3 linked regions of the Rattus norvegicus genome follow. The protein of the gene in region 3 binds, or shares a complex with, the protein of the main gene of each other region. Links are inferred from orthologs where the notes say so. Each region holds a gene or a part of one and is shown on either strand. Other genes may lie near its edges. The genes, in order: Kcnip2, Kcnip1 and Kcnd2.

Region 1 (9,363 bases), on a different chromosome or scaffold from region 3:
TGCCACGATCTCACTAAAACGGCCCAGTAAGCCCTAATTAGAGTACCTTAGGCCTTCTCTATCCCATGGCTTCAGACTCTGTTTCTCTCATAAACCGGCCCTAAAGGCCTACAGACCACTCAGGTTTGTGCTAACAACCCCACTCCTGGAACCAGTTCTCTGTAATAGTTACTTCCTACTGTGATGAATGACCAGCAGACAGTTGTAGGTGTCGTCCATTGTGTTAGGAAGGTGCAGTAGTGAAGGTTACAGTAAGCTGTCCCAGTCAGGAAACATACATCATTACTGGCACTCAGCCCACCTTCTCTTTTGTACCCTTTTTATTCAGTCTGGACCCCAGCCCATGGGATGATGCCACTCACATTCAGGGTGGGCCTTTCCTCTTCAACCAAATGTCCAGAGGTGTGTCTTCTAGGAAATTTGTTGTTGTTGTTGTTGTTTGCTTTTTCAAGACAGGGTTTCTCTGTGTAGCCCTGGCTGTCCTGAAACTCACTCTGTAGACCAGGCTGACCTTGAACTCACAGAGATCTGCCTGCCTCTGCCTCTGCCTCCTGAGTGCAGGGATTAAAGGCATGCACCACCACTTCCCAGCTTTCTGGATGATTCTAAATCCAGTCAAGTTAATAATAGATATTAACCTTCACAGAGATCTAGGTCAGAATGTAATGATCATAATAACTTTGGTTATTATTGTCTTGAGATCATTATAGTGTTATGATGCCTGAGGGTCCTTGTATATTTTATGTGGTTTGATCATACTGTGCATGAGATGGTCTATAAGGCTCTCCATATGTGTGATCATATTTTACTTTGGTCATATTTGTGTATATTAGAGTTTTGGGTAAAACTTTGTGTTTGGAACATGCTTATACCATCAAGTGTTACTGTCTTCTCTATGTCACTTGCCATTCTCACTTGTTACTATGCAACATGCTTGTGGGTACGTGCATGTGTGTGCATGAGAGAGACAGAGACAGTGAGAGAGAGAGAGAGAGAGAGAGAGAGAGAGAGTGAGTCCTATTCCGACAATTCCTTAGACATTACCCTAAGTGGGGTTAGCAGTTAGCAGACTCTGAGGCTGCCTCACTCTTACCTGCTTTTCTCCTTATACAACATGACCAAGCCTGGCCCGAGGTTGACTTTCCATGCCTATGAGACCCAAGAGGCATCCTGGCCCCAGCTATCCTGCCCATCTACACAGCCCCCATTCATTTCCTGTCCCCACCCCAGCCAGTGTTGATTTGTGATTGGTGGGGGAGCAGATAGGCAAACAGAGAACTGAGGGGCTGTGGGAGTTAATGTACCTTCCCGGGGTCTTCTCTCTTCCCAGGCCACCCTCCAGGGCCCAGTAAAAAAGCCCTGAAGCAGCGTTTCCTCAAGCTGCTGCCGTGCTGCGGGCCCCAAGCCCTGCCCTCAGTCAGTGAAAGCAAGTGCCTCTCCTATGCTTCTGGGGGTGGGGCGTGCGTGCGTGCGTGCGTGCGTGCGTGCGTGCGTGCGTGCGAGCGAGCGAGCGAGCGAGCGATATGTGACGGGAATTGGGAATTGGTTGGGTCTGAATGTTAAGGGTGTAGCTACAAACTGGAATGTAACAGGCAAATCATGAGTGCTTGTGAGTGAGCATCCCTAAATCTGCAGAATGGTGAACCATGGCTAGTGCGTTAAGGCCTCAACTCCGAGCCCTTGTAAGTATAGCCAAGACCGTGATGGGTTGGCTCAGCTGGTGAGGTTGGTCTGCAACTCTGTGGCCTCCCTACTGTTTTAGACCTTGGAATGTATGTCACCTGTGCCTTAACAGGTGACAGGTGTAGAGGATGGAGCCCACTTTCCCAGATGTCAGGATACCGAGGTTTTTCTGTCCTAGCCCGATCTTGAACTGAGTGGTCCCCAATTAAGTAGGGACCTCCTCTGTTCTATAGGTTCCGTTTCTTCAGCTGAGCCTTGCCCACCTTATAAAAACGCACTGAGGGGCTGGGGATTTAGCTCAGTGGTAGAGCGCTTACCTAGGAAGCACAAGGCCCTGAGTTCGGTCCCCAGCTCCGGAAAAAAAAAAAAAAAAAAAAACGCACTGAATTTTATAAGCCATAAAGGCCCAGTAGCTAATTGAGCACTTAAAGTTGCTTCACTCGGATGGTGTCACCGAGTGGAAAAACCTTGGAAAAAGAAGGGGACTGTTTATGGGGAGCCCATACCATCATGAATGTCTGTGTGCACTGCGATGTGCCTTTGTTGTGGGTCTGGGGTTCGTTTGTTGAAACACTCAAGTCTGTGAGATTTCCTGTGAGTGTGGGGCCTGGGGAGTGTCTGCAGTTGGCCTTATCTTCTGCTGCCGCCTTCTCGGTGACAATTCGCTCCCTTCAGCATTAGCTGCCCCAGCCTCCCTCCGCCCCCACAGACCCCGCCCGCTGGACCCAGGTGACTTACTCTCCTGGTTGGGGCGGGATTGGGAGGGGAGGGTACTTGCCTGGAGGGATGGATGTTGGGAGCTAGGGTGGGACTGAGGGTGGTTGGAATTGGGATTTGGGGTCTGAATGATGATTGGCTGGAGCTGGGCGGGGCATGGCTCGGGCATGGCTGAGATGGACGGGGTTCGATTGGGATCGGGCTGGGTTGTGGGCCCTCCAGAACTAGGGTTGGGCAGCTCTAAGTTGGTTCAAGAGAGGTTCCGACCTTCTGGCGTCTGGGGCCCCATTCTATCCCCCTACTGAGAAGCTATAACACTGGACTGTCCCCTACCAAGGGCCAGGAGCCAGTGCTGAATCTGGGGCCAGGCATAGCCTTAGCCCCAACTGACCTTAAAGCTGGCCAGTGTCTTTTTTTTCCTTCGATGTTCTCAGCTCTGAGTCTGGCAAACTGTTCTCTCGGGTGTGGAAGAGGGGACAGGGAGAAGGGGGTGGGGGTGGGGGTGATGATGGATTAGTTACTTTGAAGATTACCCACGTGATCTCAGGGGCTTGACCTGAGGCAAAGCTATCCCCCTCCCACTCCCCACAGACAGCGTAGAGGATGAGTTTGAATTATCCACGGTGTGTCACCGACCTGAGGGCCTGGAACAACTCCAGGAACAGACCAAGTTCACACGCAGAGAGCTGCAGGTCCTGTACCGAGGCTTCAAGAACGTGAGTGGAGGGTGTCACCAACTGGGTAAGGGCTGAATCGGAGAGGCAGAGGCGTAGCTGACCCAACCTATATCCTGAGGTTCAGGGCCCTGGGGTTGGTAAGCTGGGCTTGTGATGGTTTAATTCATGTCTGTTTGTACACGGGGAAGAAGTTGCTTGCTAGTCCTTACCAGAACTCTGTGGTAAGTTCCACAGAGGCAGGATAATCTTCCCTCCTTCTGGGAGTCTCTCTCAGGGTGATGAGTAGGAAGGGAGTGTCTACTCAGTCTGGTTGTCTCTGCCCAGGAATGCCCCAGTGGGATTGTCAACGAGGAGAACTTCAAGCAGATTTATTCTCAGTTCTTTCCCCAAGGAGGTGAGGAGTCAGACACCCAAGGCTGAGGTGGGAAGAGGGTTCTGGAGGCCTGGGGGTGCTGAGAAACTGGGGGTTGAGAAAGCTAAGGGGACGTGAGTACCCCTGCCTGAAGACCACGTTCGTGTCCCACCTCATCCACAGACTCCAGCAACTATGCTACTTTTCTCTTCAATGCCTTTGACACCAACCACGATGGCTCTGTCAGTTTTGAGGTGAGAGCTAAGAGAGATGGGTCAAGCAAGCCTGTTTCCCTGGGCTTCTGGGGGCCAAGATTTGCACGCCAAACCCAAAGAGTGGGTTGGCAGAGTTCCCTCCACCTCCTTTCCAGGACTTTGTGGCTGGTTTGTCGGTGATTCTTCGGGGGACCATAGATGATAGACTGAGCTGGGCTTTCAACTTATATGACCTCAACAAGGACGGCTGTATCACAAAGGAGGTGCAGGGCCACCGCAGGGCAAGAAGGGTGGGGGGTGGGGTGCTGGTAATGTAGAGTCGGATCTGGTATGGAACCATGTGTGTCGTATGTGTCAGCGGTAAGCGGTGAGCGAGTCGAGTCGGTCCTTGGCCCTAGGCTGTAAATCTGGAGGCTAGAGGCTCTTAGGTGAAATCTCTCGTTTGGCTTAACAGGAAATGCTTGACATTATGAAGTCCATCTATGACATGATGGGCAAGTACACATACCCTGCCCTCCGGGAGGAGGCCCCAAGAGAACACGTGGAGAGCTTCTTCCAGGTGCGTCTGGGTAGGCTGGTGGCCCAGGGGTGGAGGGAAGGACACCAGGGCCCAAGAAGGCACTAACCTAAGTATCTCTCTCCCATTGTCCCCTCACGCCCCTGCCTGTCCACCTTCTTACAGAAGATGGACAGGAACAAGGACGGCGTGGTGACCATCGAGGAATTCATCGAGTCTTGTCAACAGGTATGGTTCCACTCTCTACACATCTGTCCCTGTTCTGAACCTAAATCCGTGAAACGGGAGAAGGCTCCTCTCAACTTCACTCACTCCCCACCTCCCAATCCTATTCTTTTATGACCAGGGCAGATTTACCCTTTTACCACCTCAGATCCCCCTAGATAAGCTTCTTCCTAACTCCTGAATGCCCCCATCTTTGAATGTCTTCCTCTGTGTCTCTGACAAGCTTTTTTATTTTTTTTTCTCTCTCTCTCTACCTGCCTCCCTCATGTCATGACCACAGGACGAGAACATCATGAGGTCCATGCAGCTCTTTGATAATGTCATCTAGCTCCCCAGGGAGAGGGGTTAGTGTGTCCTAGGGTGACCAGGCTGTAGTCCTAGTCCAGACGAACCTAACCCTCTCTCTCCAGGCCTGTCCTCATCTTACCTGTACCCTGGGGGCTGTAGGGATTCAATATCCTGGGGCTTCAGTAGTCCAGATCCCTGAGCTAAGTCACAAAAGTAGGCAAGAGTAGGCAAGCTAAATCTGGGGGCTTCCCAACCCCCGACAGCTCTCACCCCTTCTCAACTGATACCTAGTGCTGAGGACACCCCTGGTGTAGGGACCAAGTGGTTCTCCACTTTCTAGTCCCACTCTAGAAACCACATTAGACAGAAGGTCTCCTGCTATGGTGCTTTCCCCATCCCTAATCTCTTAGATTTTCCTCAAGACTCCCTTCTCAGAGAACACGCTCTGTCCATGTCCCCAGCTGGCTTCTCAGCCTAGCCTTTGAGGGCCCTGTGGGGAGGCGGGGACAAGAAAGCAGAAAAGTCTTGGCCCCGAGCCAGTGGTTAGGTCCTAGGAATTGGCTGGAGTGGAGGCCAGAAAGCCTGGGCAGATGATGAGAGCCCAGCTGGGCTGTCACTGCAGGTTCCAGGGCCTACAGCCCTGGGTCAGCAGAGTATGAGTTCCCAGACTTTCCAGAAGGTCCTTAGCAATGTCCCAGAAATTCACCATACACTTCTCAGTGTCTTAGGAGGGCCCGGGATCCAGATGTCTGGTTCATCCCTGAATCCTCTCCCTCCTTCTTGCTCGTATGGTGGGAGTGGTGGCCAGGGGAAGATGAGTGGTGTCCCGGATGATGCCTGTCAAGGTCCCACCTCCCCTCCGGCTGTTCTCATGACAGCTGTTTGGTTCTCCATGACCCCTATCTAGATGTAGAGGCATGGAGTGAGTCAGGGATTTCCCGAACTTGAGTTTTACCACTCCTCCTAGTGGCTGCCTTAGGGGAATGGGAAGAACCCAGTGTGGGGGCACCCATTAGAATCTTTGCCCGGTTCCTCACAATGCCCTAGGGTCCCCTAGGGTACCCGCTCCCTCTGTTTAGTCTACCCAGAGATGCTCCTGAGCTCACCTAGAGGGTAGGGACGGTAGGCTCCAGGTCCAACCTCTCCAGGTCAGCACCCTGCCATGCTGCTGCTCCTCATTAACAAACCTGCTTGTCTCCTCCTGCGCCCCTTCTCAGTCAGCCAGGGTCTGAGGGGAAGGGCCTCCCGTTTCCCCATCCGTCAGACATGGTTGACTGCTTTGCATTTTGGGCTCTTCTATCTATTTTGTAAAATAAGACATCAGATCCAATAAAACACACGGCTATGCACAGCCTGCTGGCTCTGCCTCTTTATCCCCCACCGCCGCCATGCAATTGCCATGGAATCCAACGACAGACCTGCAGCCCTTTAAATGCTCAAGGAAGTGCTTGTCTTTCCAAGGATGGCTATGACTTGGCACATGACCAAGACTCAGGTTAGAAATCCACCTGACCTTAGCCCCTCCACGAATCTCCTCGCATGACTTGAGAAGACACAGGAAAAGGTGGGATGGCATGTAAGGACTGTATGCACGGAGCAGGCTGTCTCCCCCCACCCACCTCATTTTGACATAAACGTTATTTTATTCCATTTCAGGAAAGTGAAAAACTTGCCATCCCATTTCACCGTAAATCCTGAGCACTGAAGCAAATACACACATGAATATCTGTGCATGTTACATAACGCGTATATGCATTTACATATTTTCAGATTTTAGCTTCACTGGTGTCTGACCCTTTGTTCTGTGTTCTCTCTCGATCTCCTTTTGAGGAAATGTTTCCTAACCAAGGAGGACCTTCAATATTTTTTTTCTGAGAATTTGTTGTTGTTAGCATACAAAGTCATAGGGTTTCCTGTGGTATTTTCTTTCTTCCTTGTGTGTGCCTGTTTGTATGTGTTTTCTGTGTGGGTCGTAGGTGCCTATGGAGGCCAGAGGTCAATGTTGGAGTGTCTTCTTCCAGCCTATTTTTTTGAGGCAGGATCTCTCACTGAAAGTTCAGCTCACCCATTAAGTTAGACTGGCTCCCAGGAATCCACCTGTCTACACCTGCTCAGTGCTGGGATTACGACATTTGGTCTCTAACCCAGCTTTTGGGTGCTGGAGGTCAACTTCAGGAGGTCCCCGACAAGTACTTTACCAACTGAGCCATCCTCTCCCACAAGCATACGTCACTGTGGCCTCTCATACACACCCGCTCAACTACCTTCCCTCGCCTACCTTGCTGGTCTTCCCTTTCTATCCCAGTGATCTCCCTTTTGTTTTGGGGTGCGTGTGCATGTGTGTGTGCGTTTGTGCGAAACTCTAGATTCTGCATATAAGAGGAAATGTACGCTATTTTTTTCATTCTCCCTTTCTTTACATCCAAATGACATACTTTCTCTTCCTCCTTTCTTGGGGCATTGGTTTTTGAGGCAGGGTGTCATGTGGTCAGGCTGGCCTCAAACTCATGCTGTAGCTGGGCATGGGCTTGAACTTTTTTTTTTTTAAAAAAAGATTTATTATTTATGTAGACACCAATGTTGGGGTAGAAGTCTCGGCCCGCATCCAGACAGAACACACCAAACCAACACGGTTCTCCACGTGGAGAGGTTTAATGAGAGAAGAGTAGAAGGGGGGATAAGTAAAGGCCAGCCATGAGCACGTGGTGGGAAGTGGGGGATGGGGAGAGAAGGGACCAAGGGGAGAGGGCAAGAAAGCAGAGAAGAGAGAGGAAGAGCAAGAGAGAGCAAGAGAGAATCAGGAGGGGGCAAGCAGCCCCTTATATAGTGTCAGGCACAGCTAGCTGTTGCCAGGGCAGAACAAACCTGGCTATTGGGATGGAACTTAGACAGAATACCAATATATATGAATACACTGTCGCTGTCTTCAGACATACCAGAAGAGGGCATCAGATCCCATTACAGATGGTTGTGAGCCACCATGTGGTTGCTGGGAATTGAACTCAGGATGTCTGGAAGAGCAGTCAGTGCTCTTAACCACCGAGCCATTTCTCCAGCCCTGTTTCAATGTTTTATAGCACCCTGCACCGCCGTCATAAGGAACTAGCTGCTGTGGATGGGCTACACACACACACACACACACACACACACACACACACACACACACACACACACACGAAAAGGCTGTCAATCCCACTGGAAAGACAGTAGGGTTAGGGCGCGGTATATGTGGAGGAGCTTTTCAGATTCCTTTTCTGTGGCCACACGTATGCTTACAGAAACACATATCCTCTCACTCCATGAGTGCCTATCCATACCCTTCATCAGCTCAATCCGAGTTTTCACAGAGGCAAGCTATCCTTTTTGGTAACCACCTCCCTTTTTTTTCTTTAATGTTTGAGACGGGAACTCACATAGCCAGGCTCCATCTCCCTTTGTAACCGAGGGTGACCTTGAACTCCTGACCCTCCTACCTGTGCCTTACAAATGCTGGAATTACAGGTTTGTTCCACCAGGCCCAGCTTTGGCAAACATTATTAAATTCTGAATCAAGAGTGTCAGACTCACAGAACGCTGAGAACGCTGCCTCTTGAGAAGTCCTTCCTCCCTCCCTCCCCGCCTTTAGTGCAGCATGGTTGGGCATTATTAAAAAGAGCTGGCTCAGCAGGTGGAGATATTTGCCATCAAGCCTGATGACTTGAGTTCTAGCCCTGGGATCCACATGGTGGAAGGAGAGTCTTCCCTCCAAGCCCGATGACCTGACTTCTATCCCTTTGGCCCTCTGATCTCCACATGTGCCCCATGTCACCAATTCACAAGTCGAGTTCGATTAAAAAGACTTTCTCCCACCTGATGCAAACGGGTGCTGCCATTATGTAAGTGATCATGCGGTCACTGACTCAGTGCAGGCCACCTGAGGCAAGGACAGATTTCCTGAGTGCTTGTCCACTGGGAGTGGTGAATGGCAGGTTCCTCCCATCCTTTTTCTGGAACTCCATTATGTGCTGACTCATCCAGAGGAGGAAGTCAGGCCCTCTCCCTTCCTAAACACACTGACAAGGTCAATGAAGAGGTTGGTTTCGAGGAGGCAAAGCTCCCTTGTAGGAGTACAATAAACAGCACTTTGAAGGCCTGGCTTCAATCCCCAACAGCACAGAAAGTGTCTAACCTCCAGAGTGCGTCTGTTGTCTGTTTCCTGCATATCTCGTCTGAGAACTCTGTTCTTCTGTTTCGAATGGAAGATCTGATCAAAACTGTGGGCCCACTATCCACAGTGGGTGAGAAGGGGGGATGGGGCAGGGCTAATGTTTGTTGTTTTGTCTCACGTTTTGTTAAGAGATTGCTGGGTGTGAAACCCACGGCCTGGTGTGTATTGCACAAGCACTGTGTCACCAAGCTGTACCCTCCAGCTCACTCTCACAAATTTTGGGTCTCTGAAGTTCATCCTCAGATCTTAGGTCAAGAACCTAGTATCGGGTGTACCCCCTAGATTTTTCGCCTTTTGATGTTGTTGCTGGCTTCTGGAATTGTTACGGGGAAGTGGGGTTTCAGTCTGTAAGTTCTAAGAGCCTTAGGGACAGACTTTGAAGGAAGTTTGGAAGGACTGTTTTACTATTTTATTAGTATCTGGAAGAAAAACAACAGGGCAGGCAAGCTGTAAATCCTGGCAGCTTGGAGAAGAGGAGGAAA
Region 2 (9,363 bases), on a different chromosome or scaffold from region 3:
ACTGTTTTCTTACTTTTTCCTAGACATCGCCTGGTGGTATTACCAGTATCAGAGAGGTAAAAAAAAAAAAAAAAAAAGTCAACACTCTCTTGACTGTCTCGGTCACATGACTTGAAAGGAAGAACTTCTCGATCAAGGATATGTTCTGCAGCTAGCTTTCTCGTTCACTAGACTTTTGTGCCCCTTGTTAGCAAACCCAGTCTGTGTAGAAACCATTAGGGGTTTTCTCTTAGGGGTGGGGTTTAAGGAAAGCTTTGTTCCTCCTAAGAGGACCATATTTTTTCCTTCTGCGCTAATTGAACAACTGTAAGACAAAGCTCAGAGCTTTTACTGACACATAAGCTTAAGTTTAATAACCGTTCAGAACAAATGGCCAGAATGTCTCTGTTCTCCTCCCCTCCCGCAACGTGGTCTGCACTTCCGATCGCATCGGCATTTTCTGAAGCAGTTTTTTTTTCTTTATCTGTTTTTATTCTATTATTCAGTTCCTATGACCCACTTCACGTTCTTTGTGAGATAGAGTGGAGACTTTAGATAGGCAGACTGCAGGAGAATAGGCTGTGTGACTAAGACAGGAGAAAGGCAGGTGGTGGGGAGACGGAGGAGGTGTATGAAGTCCCACCCTCAGCAGCCCCCAAACCAGGAGACAGCTTACATGAGCCCAAAGTGAAGCCGGGCGCGGGGGTGCACACCTTTAATCTCAGCACTAAGGCAGAGGCAGGGGCAGGTGGTTCTCTGTGAGTTCAGAGCCAACCTGGGCTAGAGAGTGAGTTCCAGGACTTCCAGGAATAAATAGAGACACCCTGTCTCAGAGAGAGGGGGAGAGAGAGAGAGAGAAACAGAAACAGACAAAGAGAGACAGAGACAGACAGAGAGATGCAGAGAGACACAGAACTAGGGGAGTGACAAGTGCCCTAATGACTGTAGCTACCCAGAGTGCCCAAGCCCCCACTCAGCTGTAGCAGATGATGCCCTGGTGTGAATTTAAGATTCAAGATTTTCCAAGAGAAATATGAAATACAAACTTGGTTGTAGATTTCTTTTCTATAAACATTGGCAACTATTTTAAAATGAGCCTTTATGTATTTCTTACAAAACCTCTCTTTGAACTACATTCAAGCTAAGGACCACAATTTTGTAACCTCAAAATGGATAAGATGGGTGGGTGGGTGGGTGTGTATAAAGTACAGCCCAGATCCTGCCTCTGCTCAACACATGTGCACACGCGCACACGCGCGCGCGCGCACACACACACACACACACACACACACACACACACACACACACTGGAGAAACTGTATTCTAAGCCAGGGAAGAGATGGTCATAGTTTTGGGTCATGGCCTTTGTCATCAGCCAGAGAAGATACCTCAGTGACATGTACCCCCAGACGCAGGTCCCTACTGCTCACAATCTGTGGACCTGACTTGTCCACAAGCATGGCACTTCTTAGGAACCAAAGTGAGTCAAGGCTGGTCACAAACCACCTTACCGTCTGTGCTCCGGTGAAGTCACCATGGAGATACAGGGCAGCCGAATCTGATAGACCAGTCCTGGATTGGCTGGGGTTAAGGTGCAGCTTTGTCACTGTTGACCTGTGTCACCCAAGCCTCAGACAGGAGTTAGTGGCAGAGTTTGGGGAAGAATGACAATAGAAGGTATTTCAGGGACTCCGTTCAAAAGATATGGAACTCACTGGCACTATAGGGGGCTTGATACGAAATGACGTTTCTAAGAGGGTCTAAAGTTTTCATCCATCCTATACCATGAATAACCTGAAAGCCTAAAATGTTTTATTTTTAATTACTCTGAATCATACCCGGTTTAGTCTAGGACTCTCTGCTGTATCGCCCTGTACAATTTATCATTCCAGCTCACATTCACCTCGGGTGATAGACATTTATTACCCCGCGAGCTCCTTGTAGTTAGAAATTTACCTTTTCCATTAAGGTAATTGACTTCTAAATATCAAGTGACGAGGGTGCCAGACCCCTCACCCCCACCACACAGGTGAACATTACAAAGAGAAAATAATCTCATTGATCTTTATCAAGCAGAACTTCCCATCGCATTAACCTCACGATTGGCTTTGATCCAAACTCGGTCTGACTTAATGATTAGTTCGCCGTTACTTTAGTAATGAAAAGAATAACAGAAAGAAGCGTTTGGCATTGAAGACTCACAAGAACCAAACAGTAAGGAGCTCCCGTGTGTTAGTTCTGATTCTGTGTAACCAGGGAGCTAGGCCAGTGTCCTCCTTCTACCAGCTCTGTCCTGAGATGTCTGGGGAGTCCCCAAGTGGACAGGAGAGATGTGAATGCCACCCTTCCAAAACAGATATATTTACAGTGGCCCAGAACAATGAGGCTACGAGGTGGTAAGAAAGGGAGGCACATCCAGATGTGGGCCAGTCTAGACAGTTGCAAAAGCTGTGAACACGTTAAGTTATTGTTTTCCAATGAAAGGCCAGGGCTCACCAGGGTCACAGCAGCAGAGGTTTGCCTAGGCTGGAGGGCATGTCACGTCCGTCAGAGACAGCATTGCCTCACGAGGTTTTACCTTCCAGAGATCCCACGGAAATGTTGCACGTATTTATGCACACACTGGGTTGTTATGTAAGTTACACGCTTACTTACCGGTTTAGGCCCCTACTATCCATGGGTGGCTACTTCCCTACATCTCAAGCCCCAATCACCTGAGTTTCTCCCGTCGGGGATGTGACCACAGACGGATCATTAGTGAAGGGCAAAGCCTGAAAGCAAAGGCTTGGCCGTCAGTCAAGCCTGTCACTGCTTGATAAGGAGTGACTCCTCTTCTTAACGAAGTGGGTTTAATAGCTGGTGTCTCGGTAATTAGCACCTTTGAAGCAAAGTGATGGGAAGTGAATGCTGGTTCCAAATTGAAAAAAAAAATTCCCTTAAACTTTTGCAAAACAAAACAAAACAAAACAAAACAAAAACAGTCTCCTAGTCTCCTTAGCTTATAAGGAATCAGGCACAGGAGATTAAGAAATAGCACAACACACACACACCACACACACACACACACACACACACACACACACACATAAAAAAAATATCTTTTTTTCTTCTGGGTCAGATAAATATTTGCAGGTAGAGACCTTTGAAAGCAAACCATCTCTTTCCGAAACAAATTTTTCCACTTTCTTATTTATCTCTTAATATTTATATTCTAATTCTTCTTCCTTTACTGGGGCTACCTGGGCACTGCCCAGTAGATCCTGGGGAGCAGGCAATATGTGGTATCTATTATAAGCCTCCACAGCCCCTTTGAAGTTTCTCCAGAACATACACAGCACTTTTTTTTCTTTTGCTAAGACTAACCAGCAACTGATTTCTTAGGATGAGTTTGAGATCTCATGAGATACTCGGAGCTTCCCCTGTTATACCTGTGTGTACTTCCCCCCGCCCCCTTGCTTTTCATTCTGGACACTGGCCCTTTGATTTACACAGAAACCTTCTGCATTAAGGTAATTGGTACTTAACTCATTAGCTACAAACATAAGGAGAAAGAAAGGCTTCGTAAGAGTTCTGAGGAAATTGGCCACTTGCCACAGTGTGACATAAACAGAGTTTCTTATTTATATTGGATCATTATCTATCTCCCTCCCAGAAGAACTAGGTGATGTGCGGGACCCAGCATGTAAGAAAGATAACAATTAGGCTTGGCTGCCGCATTATTGAGGCTTTACTGTAACATCCATTACCACTGGGATTCTGCTCAAGATATAAATTTTGATGGATTTGTTTTGTGTTGGGATTTAAGTGTCACGGTAGCAGAGAAAATCTGGCGCTAAGAGCCCAACCCTGCCTGCAGAACAACTACACTCACTGTACCTGTTCGCCTGGTTCTGCGATGCAGACCCAGGCCGCCTCCTCTGACTTACCATGGTGCAGTGTGGGCCGTATGTTCCCAGCAGCCTGCTCATCCCGCCCTTGTTTTCACGAGGCAGAAGTTGGAATTGTTCAATATATGGATTTGCTGATGCCTGTGTGACAACGGTAGGCAGGGTAGGGTAGATGGCAAACGATCCTTGCCTGGAATAGATTTACAGAAAAGAATTCTGGCAGGGCACAAAGAGAGTGAGTAGTCACTCATCCCTGTCTGAGGCTAAGCTCCTGGAAGCAACCGCCGACGGATGAACTTTGAGTTGCTTCAAAGGAAGATAAGTGGAGTCAGCCGACAGGCACTTTGCAAACGAGGTGTCCCATTGGACACTGTTCCGATGCGTGCAGGAGGTTGAAACCCTACTCTCTTATGGCTGTTTTTATAGAGCCTTGCAAATGTCCTGGAAACCTTTCTTTATGCAAAGATGCTCGCATTGAAGTTGCTTCCCTGGTATGTAAGGAGACCTAGCGGATATTACAGAATAATGCTGTGTGCAAAATACATTCTGATTCTTTAAAGTCACATTCAACACAGCGTACTTTGAACTTCCCACTGAGTCTCCCTAGCACCTCCCTCGCTAGCCCGCACGGTGAAACCTCATCCCTTTTGAAAATAGTTACGATTCCTTCCCCTTTACTGTTCGGAGTCTCATTCTGCTCAGGCACCAGCGTCTCTGCATGGAGAGCAGTGTTATGGAGCTTCAATTTGAATATGCAAAGATTCAAATTGGTTTTGAAAATGTTTTTTGTGTGGCTGTGTTCTGAACACTTCCACCCTCAGCTGCCTATCTGAGATGCTGATGGCCTTTGCCATCTGTCACATTTAGAGTAACATGGTGGGCAGATTTCGACACAGAGTGAGTGGGCAGGGGAGCGGGGTTCAAGGCCCATGACCTCCACCATGACCCCAGTCCAAGCCCAAAGTCCCGGTTCCCAAGATCACACCTCGAACAGCTCATACTGTGACCCAACACAAACCAAGGAGGTCACATTCTGATGCCGTCCCCTCTGCTTCCAGACAAGATCGAGGATGATCTGGAGATGACCATGGTTTGCCATCGGCCTGAGGGACTGGAGCAGCTTGAGGCACAGACGAACTTCACCAAGAGAGAACTGCAAGTCCTTTACCGGGGATTCAAAAACGTAAGACCGCCCCCCAGAGACTCGGAGGCCTGTTGTGTTTCTTGTCACTTGACTAAGCTTTTCCCGTGCCAAGGAGGTCCCCAGAGTGCAGAGATCCAGGAAGGCCACTGCTATGAACCTGCACCTGGTGAGAAAGAAAGCAGGAGGACCAGGCCTCAGACAAGGCAGACAGGAACCTCACCCACTGCAGAGAAGTGCCACAGGGTGGTGTGACCTTGGGGAAGCCTTCACAGCCAAGATGCAACCTTAGCTTGACCGGCACTCTCTACCCTCTGTTTGGTGTCCAAAGAGTGATGGGATTGAGCTGTGCTGACTCATGCTAGAGAGGCCTGCAATGACCGATGTATAAGCCCAAATGCCACTGTGTTCATTTCTCCTTGAAAGTTAGGACAGGTTGGGGATTTAGCTCAGTAGTAGAGCATTTGCCTAGCAAGCGCAAGGCCCTGGGTTCAGTCCCCAGCTCCGAAAAAAAGAAAAAAAAAAAAAAAAGAAAGTTAGGACAGTGGAACCAACACTTCTGTCCTACTGCTGTGACCTTTTCCTATGTGCCACACAGAAAGCCACTTCTTAGCAAAGCAGTGTGTAAGGAAGGAAGTTCAAAATTGACACATACCCGAGGCTACTGCTGTCTTCTGGGATGCTTTGAGAGCTCTCACAGCCCAGCCTGGATAAGGAGTTTGGGTTTAACCCTTACAACATTGAGCACATTCATATTCCCAAATGGCTGGGTGGAGTTAAGCAAGCGAGCTGTTCTGGTCACCTCCCTCCAGGCACAGCCTCCAGCAGGAGCTTGGTCAAGTGTCCTACAGCTCGACTAGTTGGTCATGTGTCTGATTTGCTACTGTTGGGCATTCTTCTTTCTAATGTTGAAGAAGCCATGTTAATAGTGCCCCGCTGAGCTGGAGTGAGGTTCTGGGAGGTTGTTTCCCAGTTGGGCACTTGTCTAAGAGGAGACCAGAAAATAGAAGAAATTCCACTTATTATTTTGGCAGCTACCCTAGTCTCAGTGCTACCTAATATTGAGGGAACTGTTAAACTCATTCCGAGGGTAAGTGTGTTCAAGATCACAGGCCACCTCTGACGAAGCCGAAAACCTTAAAGCAGGCTTAACCAGGATCCAAACTTAGACCTGTCTAGACCTAAACCCAAGACTCTCCCAGCCCAGTCCCTATTCTGTGATCTCCCCTCACTTGCAAAATAGCTTTTCATGATAGTGTTACCTCCAAGACCTCCTGAAGATACCCAGTACACATGTGCTTCCTAGTCTCTGCCCAGGAGAGGGCATGAGGACCCTGCTCAGTCTCCACTCCCTAGTACAGGCTCCCAGACACTTCCCACACACACACTCTCTCTCTCTCCCCCACACACAGGAGTGCCCCAGTGGTGTGGTTAACGAAGAGACATTCAAGCAGATCTACGCTCAGTTTTTCCCTCATGGAGGTGAGTATATGCTTGGAAAAATGCCCTCCCAGCATCCTCTCCAGTGGTCAGCCTTCTCTTTCTCAACCCCTCTGTTCATTATCTTTGGGGTCAAAGGAGAATTCATGGCAAGATTTTTTTTCTTACTACAAAATATAAAACTCTCTGACAAACAAATATGAGCCCACTCAAGGGGAAGAACAGATATCGCAGTAACAGAAAGTCCCATAAACAGCTCTAGAAAGCAGGCATCATGACCCCGGAAGGAACGATTGAGTTTCAGAGACATTAAGCATTTTATTCACGACCACACAGCTCGAAGGTGGCAGCCGAGGAATAGGAAAGTATAAGGGGCAAAAGCTTTGTCATCTTGGTTCCTTGAACAGCTAAGACGGGTTGAAATCTTGTAAAGAACATTAGTAAATACTACAGACCATAAAAATCACTGAGCAAAATAAACTGTGGGCAGCGTGAAGTTGTACTTATTTATAAAGTCAGGTCAGTGAGGCACTGGACTCCCACCGCCTGCTCCACACATCCGTGCATCCTTCCCCCCTGTGGCTTTCTTGTGTCACCTGCTCACAGGAGTCACCTGAAGAGTGCGGAACACCTGTTCCGGGTCCTAACAAAAGAAAGACTTCAAGTGTCCCACATCCTTCTTGGGCCCTATCTATCACGGGCCTTCCCAGCAATGCACAGGTGTCTCCCTGGTGTGGGATTCGGTGCAGGGTTTCTCTCTGTGTCAGGGAGAAGTGGCTTCACGTCATGCTAGTACCTGACTCCCTATGAACGCCCCCCAGAGACAGTTTGCCACTGTGTGGCAGGGAAGGCTCGAGTTTAATGTATTTCTCCCCATGTCTCAAGAGTCAGGTCTTGCTACATCCCACTGTACGAAGATGGGGAATGGACACTCTGAGGTGTTGCATTAAGTCTACAAGCACAGCTATATGGAACCAGCTTTGATACAAGCTCGGGTCTCTCCTCACAAGGAGGTGCCCATGCCATGGCAAGGAACCCTGCTTGGGACACCTCTACTCAGTCACTGCCCAGAGGACCAGGCCACACAGAGGAACAGGCAGGGGAGACAGTAGGGAGAGAGATACGAACCGTCTAACCTTGTGCTAGAACTAATTTCTCGCCTAATCTTCAGGACTGAGCAAATGAGTCTCAGTCCATCATCCTCCCTCTCCTCTCTCTGGCCCCACCCGTGCTGCCTCTGCCCTCTGTGGAGCCTTGACCCCCACTCACCTGCTTCCCCCTCTACTTTGCAGATGCCAGCACATACGCACATTACCTCTTCAATGCCTTCGACACCACCCAGACAGGCTCTGTAAAGTTCGAGGTATAGTATGTGGGTCCAGTCGGGGGTCCCCTGGTTCCACAATGCCTCTCCTTCTGAATATGACAGTGCTGGTGGAACGAGTTAATTATCAAAGTCTTCATTTAAGACAAGAAACTTGATTCATTTAAGGAATAGCACCTGAAGTCAGAGAAGACTCTTGTCGTCTAGACACTGTGCGTTGGGGTGGTAGAGACAGCCTAAGAGATCCCTTGTGCCCTGTAAGCCGAGCGGTAACCTCTGGACCTAGCATTTCTTATTTATTAACCTGTTTAGCTTTTATAATAGTGCTTACAAGGCATGGCCAGATGGTTATTTATTATCAATTAACAGAAGAAGAAAATGAGGCAGAGAGTGAGTAGCATTTCCAAGATCAGAAAGAGAAAGAAAGTGGCCAGGGAGGCCTTGAACACAGGCAGTGTGTTTCCTCAGCCTGTGCTCATAGCTACTGGAATGTACAGTCCCTCAGACGTTAGCAACCATTGCAGCCTTGGATTAGGATCAACGAGGGAGGCTGAGTTCACACATACAGAGCTCAATTCATCCTCAGGGGCCATCAGAGACTGAGACAGTGTAGGTACAGGGAACGGAAGATAGGACTGGGCCTCCCCCAGGCTGGGACTGGACATTTCCATCTGGCTAACGAGAGGGTGTGGGAGGCGCCATTTTGTAAAAGCATCACGGTCCAATCTGGAAGTCAGGCTTCTCTCCACCCACGCAGTGGTTAACGTGAGGCCTGCCTTCTTCACTTCTTAGGACTTTGTGACTGCTCTGTCGATTTTACTGAGAGGAACGGTCCATGAAAAACTGAGGTGGACGTTTAATTTGTACGACATCAATAAAGACGGCTACATAAACAAAGAGGTAAGTGAGCATGAGATGAACACAGTGGAAGCACTGAAATCGAAAGCAACCCCAGACCCCGGAAAACACTGAGTGAAAGCGAGTCCGTCCCTAGCAGAGTGAGGAAGCCCACCGCTGATGTCCCCGCCCAGCCCCGCCCCTGTGCTCAGGAAGCTGTAAACCGCTCCTCACAAGCCCACACAGGTGCGATGGGCTGAGACTGTCTTTTGGGGAACCTGCATCTCCCCCTGAGTAGCAGCCTCCTCACATTAAAGCTCAGTATAAGCCTGGAAGGATGAAAGGAGCCCCCAGAAGAGAGCAGAGAGCTCTTCGAGACAGAGGTGACATGGGCCAAATCCCATTACCCACAACCCACTCTGCCTAATAAAATCAAGGAAGGGGACGATTTGGGGTGGTGGGCAATTGTCTTAAAAAACAACCATCACGGGGTTGGGGATTTAGCTCAGTGGTAGAGCGCTTGCCTAGGAAGTGCAAGGCCCTGGGTTCGGTCCCCAGCTCCGAAAAAAAGAACCAAAAAAAAAAAAAAAAGGAAAAAACAGAATATCAGACTCTTCGCCGCTTCTCTCAGAGCATTGGTGCATCACCCACCACGGGCTGTCACTCAAGACACCTGGATGTCTGCCGTGAGAGCCATAGGGGCTTGACAATAACATTTGGGCATCGTCTCGCTGAACTCTTGTATCTCAGACATG
Region 3 (10,077 bases):
CCACACAGGCGTTTTTATTCCCATATAAAAACCTTTGATGAAAACAACTCAGTTTTGTGATTAAAGAAGTGGAATGGGCTGCAGAAACGGAACGGTATCTCTTAACTCCTTCAGCTTCACGTTATGAGCAAATATGGTTGGGAGACGTGGCTGAGAACACACATTTTGCCTACCATGATGTTACATCCCCAAGGATTTACTGTGCCACCTGGGATCTCTTCCATGGGAAAGTCATGACCATGAAGAAGAGTGCAAACCGAGGCTCATCTCCATGTTCGCGAATCAACTTCTGGTTGTCATTAGCCGATACTTAGAGATGTGCCAATCTTAGTATTATGCAAGAGAAGAATACATCCAGTGGATATGCTGTCCCAAACCCTAGCCAAAGAGGGACTGTGGGTTCTTTTTAGGCTAAGGCAATTCAAACCAATAGACTTTACACTTTGGATCAGGGATTACAAGGATAGGACAGAGAGGTGGCCTCCTGGTCCCATGTCAGTAAATAAATAAGCTTGAAAAGGAAGGGCAAGATGAAAGAACTGATGCCCATGTCACCCAGTCTAAGCACTTAACAAGTTTTTCTCTTATGTCCTTTTATTGATATTTTTCAATGTTTTCTACGTTTACTGATACAAGATGAGTAGCCTTCAAACTGTGTTCATTTTCCGGTCAGATTAGATACTTACCCAGCAAGCATAGTCATGTTATAGTCTATGACAAAGCTAATGTTTGAAAACATTATATAAATACAGTAGTCCCAAGAGACACACACTGAGTTCTTCAAAGCCAAAACCAACTGGAGATCCTCAAAAAGTATTAGCTGAGTCTTTTCAGACCTGAATCAGAAGGTGCTTGGTTACTTTTCCTCTCATGAAAACAGTGTTCATATCAGGTGGTACTTCCGATAACATCGTGTGGGATGTCAATTTCACGTCTGATATCATCAATTAATAAATATTAATTTCATTAAAAATAATAGCCACATAAAGAGAACATAGAAAGTCTGGTGTCAAACTCTTGGACATCCATCAGTCACAATTTGACAACTGCTAAACTACTGCATATTTTCCAGAAAGTTTATACTTCCCATTCTAAAGTTGCAGCATAAAAGATAAAGTCATAGACCGATGTGTTACATCCCTTCCACTCTTAAATAGCACAGAGCCACAAGGCTACTAACAGTAAAACACCAAAAGACAAGGCATTTAAGATTCGTTTTGTGCAGGCAATTAAAATACTATAAACACGTTTAGAAAAGGAACTGCAGATATTCCTGTTAACAGAGAGTAGTGTATTATATAAAACACAGGCTTTCCTCAATGTTCACATATATTTTTATTGCTTTAAAAGCCTGGGTGTTGTTTTTTTTTTTAATGAGTCATTGATTATCTTCTTAAAAAAACTTTCAATTTCATTCAAACTGGAAGTCTTAAAAGTCAACCCCCTTATTGCTTCCAAGTTCTAGAAGATTTGTGTATTTAACTGTTTGTATTTGCTCTCCTATAGGACAAATGGAACTGATTGCCCAGATGCTGCTCAAGTATTTCAACGCAGTTTCTTAAATCATCCACAAGAGAATGCTTGTGAGCAGTAATAGTAACACAGCCCCATTTTTCCAGAAAGTAGCAGACATTTCAAGATAGAGAAAGAATTGGAAGCTGTCTCCAGAAAGGAATGTTGACATTAACTTCTCACGTCCAGAATTTCAGCTCCTTAAAAAATTAGAAACTTGTCCCTATTCCTTGTAATGATGCCTACGTTCGAGCATCCAGACAGCATGCAATTCTAAATGACTCACTGAGACCTCAGGAAAAACCTGCACGCCACCACGTTTTGTAAAGTGTATTGTCTCTCAGTAGCTTCTCCTTTGTTTTCTTCTTAACATAGAGCTTCTTTAGTAGAGCTCGAATGGGAAATGACAGCAATCCTAGCTACCTGACTGTCCTTTCATGATTCACACAACACAGAGACAGAACAAAAAAAAAGGCATAACTCTTTTGAGTAAGGGTAAGCACCTGTAATAATCTGCCACATCCTCTCTTATCTGTCACAAAACAGCCAACAGGATAAAGGGGAAGGAAAGCAGAAGGATTTGAGTTCCCTTCATTCACCTTTTAAAAGCTATAATTATATCCTCAAGGATATGGCAGACTTAATCAAAATCCAAAGCACTATATTTTACTTCAGCCAGTCTTCTTCATTAACTCAGCCAGAAATTTCCCCTCATAAAAACATATTCCACTAGTTGGCCATATAACACGAGAAATTCTGTTCAGCACAATATGGCCAATAAAATTAAGTTGACTTTAACCACGATGTCATTTAAAGAAGCCAATTAAGTGAGTCAGAAACACAAAACCAAGAATACAGCCTTGGGAATAACTTTTTTTTCCTAGAGTCCTTATCAAATCCTTCTTACCCTGATTATGTAGGCAAGAAAGGTAGCCACAAAGCCAAAGAAGGAACACTGATACCTCTCCAAGGATCACCTACGAACTCTGCAAAGTAGCCTCTCTTTCTGGTTTATTTTGTTAGCTTTCCTACCCCGACAAGTGCTGCTACTTTTCTGCAGTTTGAGTAACATTCTTAATCACTCCACACCATTCTTTATAACATCTAGAGAAGTCTGAATTCTTTCCCTAGAAGTCCATTTCTGAAAACACAAATTCAGAAAACCTTCCTTTGGTTTGTAAAACTTCATGCCCTCAAATAAAAGAATGAAGGAAAGAACTCCAGGAGAAATTTTGAACCCCAAATTGCACACTGCAACTGATCCATGGTAACCAATGGTCTCACAGACGCTGCTCTGCCGTCCATGTGTAGTGGATGGAGCATCTGTAGACTCTCTGACTGATGGGAACCATAGCTTCTGAAAACTGTAGGGATGACTGACAGGCATATGCTTCTTTCTTTACAAAAGGAGGCAAACCTAGACTTCCAAACATTATATTTTGTATAGTTGACCTGTTTCTGATCTGATATTCTAATTATAACACATTACTCATAACGAAAATGAACATAATAGCATACTGATATAAAAGTTTTGAAAATCGTATCTATAATTTTTAAAATGATGTAAAGTTAGACAGGAGTCTTAGGTTGAAAAACATGCCATCCACATAATTAGTCAAATAATTCTATATTTGTCACTATATAGAATCAGTAATTAATATTTGCCTGCAACTCCCTGGTAATTTCAATCTTTTTTTGTCATACCCATTTCACAGATCAAAATATTTGTTTCTAAACTTTTGAATAAGTGCTTTCATAAATCCATTAAGAGAAAAAAATGTAGTCACGCTAAAGCATCAGGAAGCCGGAAGAGATTCATAATCAACCCACCCCATGTCCAATCCCCATCTCATTTCCTACAAAGGCACCTACCCCAGTGTTGTCATGGTGACGATGGTGTACCAGAAGGCTGCAGGGATGCTGGTGAACTTGCTTGCTGAAGAGCCCTTCTCTGCGTAGAACATAACCGTAGCGAAAATGATGATAGCCATTGTGAGGGAAAAGAGCAAGAAGCCCAGTTCTGACGCACAGCTCTTCAGTGTGTACCCCAGTATACGCAGGCCTTGAGAGTGGCGGGAAAACTTAAAGATCCTGAAGACTCGAAAGACTCGGAGTGTGACAAAGGCGCCACTGACATCCTCATTGTCTGTCATCACCAGCCCAATGTAATAGGGTAGGATGGCCACCACATCGATGATACTCATGACACTGCGCACAAAACGGTAACGACTAGGCGCTGCGGCCAGGCGTAGCAAGTACTCAACCGTAAAGATCATGACACAGGCGGTATCCAAGCAGAAGAAGGCCACTGCATACCTTTCCCCACAAGGCAGTTCTTTTATGTGGCCTGGGCTAGACCCACATGGAACTGTTTCCACCACATTCGCGATGACTGAGACGGCAATGAAGAACCCGGTCACATAGTAGAACACCAGGGCCATGGTGCTGGTGTGGGGGTTCTCAAAGGCCCTCCAGACCCTCTGCCTAGCAGTCATGGTGGGCAGAGCACTCTCTCCTGTATTGTCAGTGTCTGCATCATCCTGGAGGCGCTCTGCATTCTCCCGCCTGCGGTCCTTGTACTCCTCATAACAGCAGTCGCCAATAATTTCTGGGATGAGGCCAAAGAAGGCCAATTCTTCATCATAAGCCGAGATGCACTCATGGCGGGGATAGTGAAGCTTCCCCGTGCGGTAGAAGTTGAGGATGTGGCGGAAGATGTCTGGGTCACGGTCAAAGAAATATTGTTGGGTCTCTGGGTGGTAGAAAAAGTCTCTCTCGGAACTGCCCAGCAGAGTGTCTGGGTATCGTTCCAGGGTGTCTTGCCATGTCTGGAAACGGGTGCCACTCACGTTCAGCACAATTAGAGCGTCCTGAGTCCTTTTTCTCTCCTGCCTTGGGGGAGCTGGCATAGGCCCGGAGGCAACAGGCATCCACCCAATGGCGGCTGCCCTGGCAAAGGGTAGCCATGCTGCAACACCGGCTGCCATGTTGTCTGAAGTAGAGGTCACAAGAGTGATCAGGGGTCACCCAAAGTAACACAATGAAAGTAACAAAATGCCCCACTTCTTCACCTCAGACAAAACACTGGGGAACACGGCTCACAGGAACACGGTTATTCCAAGGTGGCGCAGGTGAAGTCACAGTACCCAAAAAGCCAGATTTCTCTCACAGACAAGTATTTGGAATACTAAGAGAGAAAAAAAAAATACAGTGACCTAAAAATCTCTCTCCATAGAGCCTAAACAAAGCTCTGCCAACAGTTGGACCAGGGCACCTCCTGGCACATCTAAACGCACAGGTGACTTTAGAGACAGCCTTGCTTCAAACAGGTGTCTTCACTTCTCCCCTGATACAGTCTGGTTGATACAGGGTCGGTATATAGAGCAGGTGAGAGGAAACAGGGAAAGTCAACCAGTGGTAGTCTCTTAAAAGAAAGAACCTTTTCACCTTCCCCTTCTGCTGAAGTGGTCCTTCCCGCCAAAGGCGTCTCAAAAAGACGACCTGTTGTTGTAGCTCCAGAAATGCGGTCACAGCCGCTGTCCCGCGTCCCTTGGAGTCCGCTGGCCTCCTCTACTCAACGCTGCGCTTGCAGAGATGGAGGTGAAGTGCAGGGCTCGCGGCGGGGGGCGTCGGTCTAGAGTTCTCTGTCCCCTCACGTCGACTGACACCCTCTGTGCCAGCCGAAAGAGAGCGTTCGCCTGATGGGCCCCTTCACTCTCTGTTCAAGTTCAGCTCAGGTGCAGTGTGACAGTTATAGAGCTCGGGAGCTGGCAGCCGCCGCCGCCGTGGCGGCAGCAGCATCTGCCTCCGCGCAGAACGCGCCTCGCCCGCCGTACATACCTGGCAAAGTACGCGCCGGGGCTGAGTTGCATAGAGACTTTGCTGTCGCCTTGCACCCGGAAAGGGAAAGGCAGAGCCAGCGGCTCCCGAGCAGCCAGATCCCAGGCTCCCGGGGAGCATAAATAAAGCTCTGGCGAGCTCTCTGTCCCCTTCCCCCACCCTCTGTGCCTCCCTCCTCCTTGTCACCTTCCCAAAAGCCAGGCGCAGGCGAGCAGAGCCAACAGCAACAAGTTCAAAAAGGTGCGGGGGAGGCGAGCCGCCCAGGCCACTCGCTCCTGCCAACTTACTGCGCGGCCGGCGTCCCCGGGGTCGGGGCGCTGCGGGGCTGCGGGGCTCCGGGACTGCGGGGTTCCGGGGCTGCGGGGCAGGCGGTGGCAGCGTGGGGCCGGGACCGAGGCAGGAGTGGGCTGGCGTCCGGGCGCGGAGGCAGGAGGCGCTCGGCGGCGCGGGGGCGCGAGAGGGCTGCTCGCTGCTTCCCCGCCAGTGGGTGGTCCCGCATCTCCCCCGAGCGAGCTCCGCGCGCTGCTCTGCCCGTGCGATCGATAAATAAGCAGGGAGAGAGCGAGAGCCGCACGAACGCCCCGCCACGCAGGTTAGGCAAAGGCGTCTCCTGCCTTTCCCTCGCCTTGACCTTTCTCCGCCCCCGCCCCCTCGGGCTCCTCTCGCTCCACCCTAGCCACCCACCAGCCTCGACGCCAAATGTCACCAAGGGAGAGCATCCAGGTGGTTCTATCCCGGGGATGAGGGAGCCTCGGATGAACAAAGGGAAGCTTCAAGGCGCTTGGCCGCGGCTGTTTGATGGAAGAGAGGAGGAAGGGGACCGGTGGCTTACTGCTGCCTCCGGAGCCCCGGTTCCAGATGAGCGTGGGAAAGGGGGGCCGAAAAAAAATCGAGAAAAGCTGCAAAGGGGGGGGGGGTGAACAGAGCGGAACGCGAAGGAATTGGTTGCCTTTGGGGGGCGACTGGGTCGCAAAACCTGCAAAGCTCCGCGGCAGAATTTTTAAGTGATTCCCCCCTCGTTCTTTAATTTTTTGTAATTATTTTTGTTCAAAACAGATGTTAACGATACTAAGGTTAATATATTACCCGTCCAACTTGCTGGAAAAGTCACACAAGTCTCCTCTGGCTAGGTCTTGCCACAACTCCTTTCCCCCTGTCCTTTGCAAATGACAGGAGAATTTAGACCCTTTTCTAAATGTCAGTGTGCAGGGGAGTGAGGCTCTGAGAGTGTGTGTCTCTTCGTGCCCTTTGCGCATCCCTGCGCATATCTAAAATGACCAAAGGAAGAAAACGTGTCCCGGTGAGGGGTGAGTGATGGGAAAAGAGACAGGAAAATTGTAGTGGCCAACCGATTTTGGTCTTCGTGTACCCCGCCCCCAGTCATTAGGTGTCTTCCTTAAAAATCAAGCTTTTAACAGCAGTGGCCACTAGATGGCATGAGTGGCGAGAAGTTAAATTTACATCTAAGGTTGCTGTTTTAGAAAGGCAAAGGATCAGAAAAATTTACAGATTCGATGGAGAATCAGATCACATAAAAATCCTTACATTTCCCGAGACCACCCACCTTTTCAGTGTTTATATGACGCGCATTGTTCAGGCTTCAGATGCATTTTGATGGACTTGGAATATGATGGTCAGTGTTTCTTGTTGAAATGTCTTTGAAAAATTACATTTCAAATACCAAGTCATGATCAGAAAAACCATTAAGATCATGGGAAAAGTGAAGTTCATTGGAAAGAGCAGCCTGACCTCTACATGAAAATTATTTTTCAAGGCTTCTTTTGCTGTCTTTTGTATGGGAAGAATGTGGGTTGTGATTTGCTGTGTAGAAACCAATAAGAGAGAGACCATAAGCATGATGTGCCTACTTTAAATGGGCGTTCAAAGAGAATCTATGAACTTAAAGTATAGAAAATCGTCAAAGAAGGAGAATAAGCATCCGCTGTAATACACGGGAGTAGCCGTCAAGTTGGATGTTTGTTTGCTGTGCTTGCTTACTTGTGCGGGGTTAGGGATTCCAGTGAGGGTAGGTAGCAAAGTTGAAGCTAATGCACCATGGCAGTGTGGGACACCTGCTGTTTGTTTGTTTGTATCACCCAAGCGAAGGATGCTTGCGAAGTCTGCAAAGCTGAGAACTAGCCAATAGAAAGGAGGCGATGCCTTCCAATCATTATAAAAAAACAAGGTACAAATTTAACCAAAAAAAAAAAAAATGATGGCATCGTGGCAAGATGAAGTCATGACATCGGGATAAGAAAGGGGCGTAGGTATTAAAAGCCCATAGTATCGTGCTTCCGTGTAAGAATGGAATAGACCTGCGAAACAGACCTTTCCACATCCCCCACTGGGAGATCAAATACTTGAACACAAAAGAAACATGTAACTTCATGAGAAGACGCCTTAGATAATATGACGTCTACCATTTCGGAAGGCAGTAAAACAATAAAACATGTTAGGCTTGTTGTAAAAATTAAAGATCATATTTCCCAAGGTCCAGTGTGTTTTGCTAAGAACATGGAAACCAGCTATTTTATTGTTTTAACGCGCATGCAATTCATCTTATGCAGCCTGTGCATGGGATTTCCACAAAGACATCATACTTACTTTTATCTCTGAATAAAGCATTTCTCCCTCTCCCAACAGGCAAATGCCTGACATCTTAATGTTCGGCTGTTCCTTAAAACATCTAGAGATTACATATTGAAAAGCCAACAGAGGCCTTGGGTTTCCTCTCCTTGTCCTAAATCCCGGTTGATCCCTCCCATCCTGTATCCTACGCCATATTGATTAAATGGGCAGCAAACAAAAACTCAATACAGTAAAAGTGAATTCATTACTACCTTCTAATCATATCGGCTTCTCCTTCCTCTCCTGAAGTGAAGGCCAGGGAAGACCCCTGATGGTACTCACTCCTTCATTACTTCCCCTAGCAGACACACAGTGACCCAGTGAGTCTCAGTGTCCCGTGCTCACTCCCAATTCATCCCTACATAGCATTTAGAGAGGTTTTGCTGTTGTTGTTGAGAACAATCTTAAGGCCTATGAAGAATAGGTATAGCAATAGGTATGGGGTCCTACTTTCCCTGCCTAGTTCCCCTAAAGGTATCCCCTCACATCCTATTAAATCACAGCCAGAGGGCGATATTAATATCCCCTGAGTCCCATTTGAACAAACTGGGAAGATTATGAAAATAGATCTCTTTTCTCACGCTTCTGGAAGGTGGAAATCTAAGGTCAAGTAGCCAAGAGTATCGGAAGGTCCAGTGTATTGAGATTTAGTGAGCCTTTGCTTTCTGTAATCAGGAAGAAACACCGAACTTTGTCTCCTGTAGTAGAAGGAAATGACAGACCCTCTCGGGCTTAATCCCAACGGGGGAATGTCTGACCTAATCGTTACTTTTCATTGTGCAATGGTCTCCTACAGCCTCCGCATATTACTGCTGCCTCACTGGGGGAGTTCATTTCAACATATGAATCCGGGGGACACACACTTTCTAAGCACAGAAGATGGAATCGACGACTCCATTTTAAAATCTATCAACTTTACAAACACTGACGTTCGTGCTTATCCTTTAGTTCTAGGTTTCGTTACTGTTAATTGTCTGCCATCGTAATAGACACGAAGCACATGACAATAAGAAGGGTTCCCTTTTATAAACATAAAACAGCACCCCACCCTGTGACTCTTATCATCCGTCCACTAGTCCGTTCTCTACCACTTATCTTTGAGAATACTACCTAAAATAACTTCTTGAGATCGCCTAACATGAGAATACTTAATAAGACTGACAAAGGAACCTGATCCAGCCCATTGTGAAGGTGCGGGAGTGCCTCCCACAGAGGCTGAGGACACACGTGGCTAAGCTTCCTGAGCATCGGTTGTACCAGCACTGAATCATAAAGAGTTCAGCCTGGTTCTTCCAGACCTTTGTGATTTTGCACTCCTCCACTTCAGTAGAGTCCCTGTTTCTCCAGCATCCTCCTCTCATCCTCACTTTAAAGATGTTTTTCCCTGCATAAGCAAATTGAATTGTAATTCAGTTATCGCTGGATTTTCCCCTAACTGCAGCAGGATATTAATGATTTGGGTCTGATCACCCCACATTCACTACTGTCTACAATGATTAATCATTCGTACCCCCATTGCAGTTTAGTTTTTAATTTCGTAATGATCTTATTGAAGATATTTTGTGTTTATTTCTCATCTGCACATATTCTGCAACACATATTCAATTTGAACTTTGTTGGTCCTACGTGTTTATTTAGAAGAGTATACAGATTCTAGACGGTGTTCCTGAATCAGACACATCATTTTCAGATAGTTTTCTTCCGTGTAGCTTGTTTTGAATCATTCTCTTGCGTCTATAATAATGCAAAAGTTTTAATTTTGCAGAGACTCAATTTATCAACTTTTTCTTTCTTGGAGTTACCCTGCTGGTTTCAAGCAAAAGCTCTTATTCCTTAATATTTTCCTCTAAATTTTCTAAGCACTTTATAGTTTACATTTTAAAATCAAACCTATGACCTCCTTGGCTTAATTTTTGCATAAAGTAAATTTCATTCTACAATTCTACTTTTTGCATCCTCTTTGTCCTTAAAAAGTTGAAAGTGCACTTGCAACTTTTATTAAAATGGCTGCCTCCCCCCACCCCCCACTGATATACATTTTTTAAGGCTTTGTCTGAACTCTCTTGAATGTTTCTTGTGGATCTGTTTCTATTTTTC

The links.
Region 1: the proteins of Kcnd2 (region 3) and Kcnip2 are in contact, whole or in part, in a cryo-EM structure (PDB 7UKH), measured with the Homo sapiens proteins. The link is inferred for Rattus norvegicus from reciprocal best matches to the Homo sapiens genes KCND2 and KCNIP2. Residues at the interface, in NP_036413.1 of Homo sapiens: Val5, Ala7, Trp8, Leu9, Pro10, Phe11, Ala12, Arg13, Ala14, Ala15, Ile17, Gly18, Trp19, Met20, Pro21, Val22, Ala23, Ser24, Gly25, Pro26, Met27, Pro28, Ala29, Pro30, Trp55, Asp57, Arg61, Arg100; in NP_775283.1 of Homo sapiens: Arg112, Gly113, Phe114, Asn116, Glu117, Cys118, Val123, Phe128, Ile131, Tyr132, Gln134, Phe135, Phe136, Tyr144, Leu148, Phe152, Phe165, Leu169, Ile172, Leu173, Arg180, Trp183, Ala184, Leu187, Tyr188, Met201, Met205, Ile208, Met211, His228.
Region 2: the proteins of Kcnd2 (region 3) and Kcnip1 are in contact, whole or in part, in a cryo-EM structure (PDB 7E8E), measured with the Homo sapiens proteins. The link is inferred for Rattus norvegicus from reciprocal best matches to the Homo sapiens genes KCND2 and KCNIP1. Residues at the interface, in NP_036413.1 of Homo sapiens: Ala2, Val5, Ala7, Trp8, Pro10, Phe11, Ala12, Arg13, Ala14, Ala15, Ala16, Ile17, Gly18, Trp19, Met20, Pro21, Val22, Ala23, Ser24, Gly25, Met27, Ala29, Pro30, Gln33, Arg35, Lys36, Arg37, Thr38, Gln39, Asp40; in NP_001030009.1 of Homo sapiens: Thr60, Arg62, Glu63, Val66, Leu67, Arg69, Gly70, Phe71, Asn73, Glu74, Phe85, Ile88, Tyr89, Gln91, Phe92, Tyr101, Leu105, Phe109, Phe122, Leu126, Leu129, Leu130, Lys137, Thr141, Leu144, Tyr145, Val162, Ile165, His185, Phe189.

The regions. Positions count from the first base shown.
Region 1 is NC_086019.1:254,586,834-254,596,196, reverse strand, and holds the end of Kcnip2 (Kv channel-interacting protein 2), read left to right. Parts: intron 1-1,330; coding exon 1,331-1,426; intron 1,427-2,358; coding exon 2,359-2,412; intron 2,413-2,991; coding exon 2,992-3,116; intron 3,117-3,401; coding exon 3,402-3,471; intron 3,472-3,612; coding exon 3,613-3,683; intron 3,684-3,799; coding exon 3,800-3,907; intron 3,908-4,098; coding exon 4,099-4,203; intron 4,204-4,326; coding exon 4,327-4,389; coding exon of another isoform or gene 4,390-4,503; exon of another isoform or gene 4,504-4,666; coding exon 4,667-4,714; 3' UTR 4,715-6,025; downstream 6,026-9,363. UniProt on the Homo sapiens protein: Regulatory subunit of Kv4/D (Shal)-type voltage-gated rapidly inactivating A-type potassium channels. Modulates channel density, inactivation kinetics and rate of recovery from inactivation in a calcium-dependent and isoform-specific manner.
Region 2 is NC_086028.1:18,735,856-18,745,218, reverse strand, and holds part of Kcnip1 (Kv channel-interacting protein 1), read left to right. Parts: intron 1-23; coding exon 24-56; intron 57-4,924; coding exon 4,925-5,049; intron 5,050-6,419; coding exon 6,420-6,489; intron 6,490-7,739; coding exon 7,740-7,810; intron 7,811-8,563; coding exon 8,564-8,671; intron 8,672-9,363. UniProt on the Homo sapiens protein: Regulatory subunit of Kv4/D (Shal)-type voltage-gated rapidly inactivating A-type potassium channels. Regulates channel density, inactivation kinetics and rate of recovery from inactivation in a calcium-dependent and isoform-specific manner.
Region 3 is NC_086022.1:50,737,460-50,747,536, reverse strand, and holds the start of Kcnd2 (potassium voltage-gated channel subfamily D member 2), read right to left. Parts: upstream 5,053-10,077; 5' UTR 4,500-5,052; coding exon 3,385-4,499; intron 1-3,384. Other genes in the region: uncharacterized protein Kcnd2l1, read right to left, coding at 5,224-6,024, 6,185-6,251, 6,439-6,608. UniProt on the Homo sapiens protein: Voltage-gated potassium channel that mediates transmembrane potassium transport in excitable membranes, primarily in the brain. Mediates the major part of the dendritic A-type current I(SA) in brain neurons.